Bombyx mori: one gene and its partner. Each later gene encodes a partner of the first gene's protein in a complex. Links are inferred from orthologs where the notes say so. Each region holds a gene or a part of one and is shown in the gene's direction. Other genes may lie near its edges.

Region 1 (3,662 bases):
AGGAACAAGAAAGTTGTCCGCAGCGAAATGTTTGCTCCCGGTCGTATGGCGTACGTGGTCGAGCTCGACGAAGAAGGCACAATCGATTCCGATATACCCACAACGTTGACTCGGAGTAAAGCGGACGTTCCCGAAATGGACGAAAGGAGTTCGGCTTCGAGTGCAAATGATCTTGTCGTCGAGAAACTGACTCAGATCTTCTCATATTTGAGGCACGGAAGACATAAGAAGCTGAAGAAGACTAAGGTTCCGTTTTTTTTCACTAATATCAGTTTTTTCGACCCAAATTAGTCATCAATTAATAGTTACTGGTGGTAGGACCTCTTGTAAGTCCGCACGGGTAGGTACCACCACCCTGCCTATTTCTGCCGTGAAGCAGTAATGCGTTTCGGTTTCAAAGGCGGGGCAGTCGTTATAACTATACTGAGACCTTAGAACTCTCAAGGTGGGTGGCGCATTTACATTGTAGATGTCTATGGGCTCCAGTAACCACTTAACACCACGTCGACTGTGAGCTCGTCCACAACACAATTACCCACTGAGTTTCTCGCCTGATCATTTCAGTGGGTCGCAATTCTGATCTTCTAGTAGATTCTCCACTGCTCTGGTTAGCAATTCTCTCAGGTTGAGCCCGTGAGCTCACCTACCCGTCCCGTCCGGACGTAGCTAGAATAGACTCTTAGGCTACCGGCGTATAGTTAGGACAAAACAAGGTAGATATAAATCGATGCTTATTTACTGAAATAAGTTTAAATACTTGCATCGTATAAGTGGTATTGTATTACGTTGGATGCGCTTACTAAAACAAGAAAATAAATCGAAATCCCTTCTTTTTTCTCCTACCTATGCTGATAGCCTTGAGAGGCTATTTTAGCTTCTCCTTGACGTGTGGGTGAGCTCACGGGGCTCAAATCGGGAGTGTTGTTAACACTGGCCCTACCAAGAGCAATACTTCGCAGAATCTTCGCACTAAGAAAATCCTGCAAGAAACTCAGTGGGCTGTGTCTATGGGTTAATTTACTCGTCGAGCCCTTCGTCGAAAGCGAGGGGCTCTACGAAGACGATGACCAGTGCTTGAAATACCTAAAAGCACCGTTAATGGATCGGGAGGATACGTAATGACGTGTTTAGGGCTGAAATCCCTATTACTTCTTCACACTGTTTATCAGGAAATCTTTTGTAACAGGACAAGACGACGGAGAAGGGTCGTAACGACGACTCTATATACGGCGAGATTGGTGACTACATGCCGGGAGAACGCCGCTCCGACAGGAGGGAGGAGAGGCCGCGAACCGGATACTTTGATAAGCCTGTTGAAACCGAGAAGGAAGAGGGTAACCATTTTGATTTTTATAAACAACTAGACGTACTCGCCCGCTTCGCTTGACATTTAAAATTAAAATTATTTATTGTCATTACTAGCTGACCCGGCAGACTTCGTAGTGCCTCAATCGATAAATAAAAGACCTAAACTTTTGTATAAAATAAACTTAAAACAAACAAAATGAATCCGTCCGACGGGGGACACATCAAAGAAAAAACAAAATTGTTATTTTTATTTAATTCCGAGCATTTTCATATTTATCTACCTTTTAAACCTTCTCTGGACTTCCACAAATAATTCAAAACTAAAATTAACCAAATTGGTCCAGTCGGTGGGACGAAGGCGTAGCGAAGGCGCGTTTTTATAGTGTAGCGTTGTTTCCAGGTCGCGGGAGAGCCTGGACACGATAATAATAGTATAATGTATATTTAAGGCCGTCAGCGCAGAAGTCGCCTAACCCGCAATTTTCATATTCGTGTTTATACTCTACTGCAATTTATTTAAAACATAAATACATTTTGATGCAAAACCGGCCTACCCATAGTTTCACACATAGATAACAGATGGATTTGTAAATATTATTTTTGCGCGTATTGTTTTTGCCTACAAAGCAGTGTAAAAGTTAATTCCAACCTCTTACTTTATTGCAGTTTCTTTCCTTTTTTTTTAAACCATAACATTTTGTTAGTACGAATTACTTATAATCTATGTTAGTAACTTAAAAAATCTAACACATAAGTATAATTACATACGTTTTTATATATTTTTTCCTTTCATTTGCCTGCTGCAAAGGCTATTAATCAGCAGTCCCCCTCGATCTTGCTCGATATGATTTTCAAAAGACTGTTGCCACTGTCACGGACTCGACGCAATAACGAGGCACTTCTCTTCCGCATCATCTCCATGTGAACTATGGTAAGCCTAGGCCACTTCTGCTCTGACAGCCTCGTTTATATTCCGCAGGCCCGATCCCTCGTCGTCAAGCAACAGGCAATAACGAAGAGCGCGACAAACGTTCCGCGGCGCTGCTGTCCAAGCTGGCGGCTGAGCCCGAGGGCTACGCCGAGTGCTACCCCGGCCTCAGGGAGATGGACGACGCCATAGACGACTCCGACGATGAAGTCGACTACACCAAAATGGACGCCGGGAACAAGAAGGGACCGATCGGTATGAACCTTATAAATCTTGCTATAGCTTCCCTAGAACTATATAAGTAACTAGCTGACCCGGCAGACTTCGTAGTGCCTCAGTCGATAAATAAAAAACCTAAACTTTTGTATAAAATAAACTTAATTTGTATAAAAACAAAACAAAAGGAATCCATCCGACAGGGGACATATCAAAGGAAAAACAAAGTTGTTTGTTTTTATATAATATCGAGCATTTTCATATATATTCACATTTTCAACCTTCTCTGGACTTCCACGAATAATTCAAGATCAAAATTAGCCAAATAGGTCCAGCCGTTCTCGAGTTTTAGCGAGACTAACGAACAGCAATTAATTTTTATATATATAGATAGATAGATAAGTAGTTATATAGAAGTAAAAAAAGGACATACAAAAGCACGCTCATTTAAATCTGAACGATGTTTAGTAATTGTTTTTGTTGATAGAATAAAAGAAATATAATCGAACAACGCCCAAAGAATTTTAACACTCAATCACAACGTATGACGTCATACGTGGCTAATCGTTGTGTTGTAATCGTTATCATTATAGGATTATCTTTTTACTTACTGAATCTCCGTATTTTTAACAATAACAACTATCTGCTTCCTGGATCTCTGTTCACAACATGGCATATGTAGAAAAACTAATGTTTACGTATACATTTGCTTTCGATCTATATATTCGCGCGTCTCTCATCCAATTTGTTAAGGCGCTGAGTCAAAAAACGTTTTAGCCTAAATACCATCAACATACAATGGGTCTGTGTAGATTAGTTTTAATAGATGAGCGGTCTACGTACATTCCGATCAGGATTTTACTGTTAGTGTAACTTCTTACTTCTTAGTCGAATACTTCATTGCTGAAGGTCGTGTCCTTGAAAGCTCTTCGTGGCTCTTTGTACCCTCAGCTTCCATTTGCTTCGGTTTTCGGCTTCTCTCAGGGCGTTGGTAACAGCTAGTGTAACGCGACCCTATAATTTTTTACTGGTGGAAGGACCTCTTGTGAGTCCACACGGGTAGGTACCACTACCCTGCCTATTTCTGCCATGAAGCAGTAATGCATTTCGGTTTAAAGGGTGGGGTAGCCGTTGTAACTATACTGAGACCTTAAAAAATCTCAAGGTGGGTGGCGGCGCATTTACGTTGTAGACGTCTATGGGCTCCAGT
Region 2 (2,570 bases), on another chromosome or scaffold:
TTTCTCCTTCCATACTCTTCTATCATATACCATTTCTTCGCTCACTCCCCTCCTACCCATATCGTCTTTCACACAATCCATCCATTTCTTCTTAGGTCTACCTCTTCCTCTAAATCCTTCCACATTCATAGTTAACACTCTCATAACAACCTCATTTTCATTCCGTCTCATCACATGTCCATACCATCCCAAACGTGCACTCCTCAGCTTCTCTGTCACAGGTGCCACTTTCAGACTTCCTCTAACATAACCTTGTATATAAAGTCTTAAACATGTTGTTTACATATGAACGTATATAAATGTGGTGTATTGATGCTTCACTTAATATCAAAGTATTAGGAGAAGGCAGGTGGTTCAGTAGGCAGCAGCCGGGGTTCTGCCCCTGACATTGCTGGCCCAGTCCATGGGCGACGGTAAATACTCATCAAGGGGGCCGTATGCTGGTATGCCTACAAGGGCAATAAAAAAAAAGTATATTATGCATCAATAGTCTGTTGACTGCTGAAGTTTTAGATGATTTATATTTTCTTATAAAAACGTTGATTAATAGTGATGCGAAATTACGAATAAAACAAATATTTTTCACACTGTTTTTATTCTTCACAATTTCAATCTTTTAAACATACTTTTAGGGAGAACAAAAAGAAGGGAATATAAATGATGTATGTACAGATGATGAAAATGACGAACTGGAATATGAAGCTTGGAAGTTGCGTGAAATGAAACGTATCAAACGAGATAAAGAAGAAAGGGAAGCGTAAGTTAAAATTATTCATTTGGAAGCTATTTTCTTCTACAGTAGGCGCGCGAGTTCATGTCCGTCCTGAGGAATGCGGTAGTGCTGTGACCTAGTTAATTATGGTGTCGATAATAACTACCGATTTAGTCAATAGCTGTCAATTTGGTTTATTGTAACTAGGTCATTTTGCAAATTATAAAATAAATGTGGTAAGTAATTACTTATTTATTTCTAATAGAGAAAAATATTTTTTAAATTCCAATTCAATTACTATCAGATGAAAAGATAACCGACAGATCAGAGTCCGAATCAGTGTAGGTTTTTTTCTACCTGAACTTGTTGGAAGCGAAGTAGTCGTAGTTTATTCACCATGAAATAACACAATAGCGTTAGCGTAAATTTTTGATATCGATAAGCGCGCGTCACAACTGTCAAAGACAACACTAAACGTCAGACAAACGCGGGGAGGCGGACGGAGGCGGGGCGAGCTGCCCCCCGCGCGTCACCTCTGGCCCCGATGGACACGAACTCGCGCGCACACTGTAGGTTAATTCAACTGTATCTGCTATACGGTAGAACAGTATTCACCATCAATACGCAATGTCGTCAAAGGCCTTTAAGAGATATACTGTAAGATGGGAAGCAGTATTCTCTGAACATTACAGTAGGTAGAGCTAGTGTGCCTGGCTAGAGCAATAAAAGCTAAGTTACTAAGTGAGAATCTGAGGTCCTTAGATTTGCCGAGTATTATTATTAACCCATGGTATATATGAGTCGACTATTATCAAAGCCGGCAATCTGACTTTTGGACAATGATTGGTAAATCAGAAAAACGAATTATTGACTTTGTATTCCATTGGCAGTCACAAAACTCTTCGGAACGACATCTTAGATAAATAACAGGTTAACTATTAACCTTTATTTAATGCAGGTTTTGAACCGTATTCTTTGAAGGAGACGATTATATTCAAATAAATCTGTATTGACATATCAATAAAAATTTTTTGTCCAAATGTACAGATTGCCGCCTTTGATAATAGACGACTCATATGTAGTTAGTACAAGACTTATGCTTCACTCTGTTTTAAAATTAATAGTCGTCTCATATTTCAAATATGAGTTCCACGTTTTGGGTTTTGATTGTGTGAAGTAGATGTTATGCTGATAGGCTGAGATATGCTAAGATTTTATCCACGTAGATGTTATTCTGGCCTAAATTATCTCAGACTGCAGCTGATGTATTTAGTCAATCCCGTGTCAGGACTGCAGCTGATAATGATTTTCTATCAGTGATTGTTATTTGAAATCACAATTTATTTTTTAGATCGCACGATTAAAGAATTCAGTCTCGGAATTTTAATAAAATTAACTATGTTAAAGTTTCACAACGAATAATGTTATATTAAAGAGACTAAAGTTTTAGTCAGTATTAAACATTTTTAATGTATTTTAGTGGCCGTCGATTTTTAGTCAGTGTAACATTTTCATTTTTATTTCAGAGCCGAAAAAGAGATGTTAACTCTGGAACGATTACGCAACATGACCGAAGATGAGCGACGCCTCGAACAACGTATCAATCCAAAGGTTGTCACAAATAAAGCAGTCAAAGGAAAATACAAGTTTCTGCAGAAATATTATCACAGGTAAAATTCATACTTTAAAAATTGTATTAAAAATAATTTTGCTTAATAAGAAAATTATTAAAGTTATTAACCATAAAATTTGAAGCATAAAAACTTGCTTAGTGTGAAAACTATTAAAATTAATAACGATTATATTTTCTAATTTTAGAGGTGCCTTTTATTTGGATAAAGAAGAAGATGTTTTCAAA

The links.
Region 2: protein Red (region 1) and microfibrillar-associated protein 1 share a complex: the UniProt entries of both Homo sapiens proteins name them as parts of the spliceosome B complex. The link is inferred for Bombyx mori from reciprocal best matches to the Homo sapiens genes IK and MFAP1.

Annotation. Positions count from the first base shown.
Region 1 is NC_085122.1:6,721,896-6,725,557, forward strand, and holds part of protein Red, read left to right. Parts: intron 1-2; coding exon 3-246; intron 247-1,186; coding exon 1,187-1,334; intron 1,335-2,287; coding exon 2,288-2,491; intron 2,492-3,662. UniProt on the Homo sapiens protein: Involved in pre-mRNA splicing as a component of the spliceosome. Auxiliary spliceosomal protein that regulates selection of alternative splice sites in a small set of target pre-mRNA species. Required for normal mitotic cell cycle progression.
Region 2 is NC_085127.1:8,420,819-8,423,388, reverse strand, and holds part of microfibrillar-associated protein 1, read left to right. Parts: intron 1-632; coding exon 633-757; intron 758-2,238; coding exon 2,239-2,382; intron 2,383-2,530; coding exon 2,531-2,570. UniProt on the Homo sapiens protein: Involved in pre-mRNA splicing as a component of the spliceosome.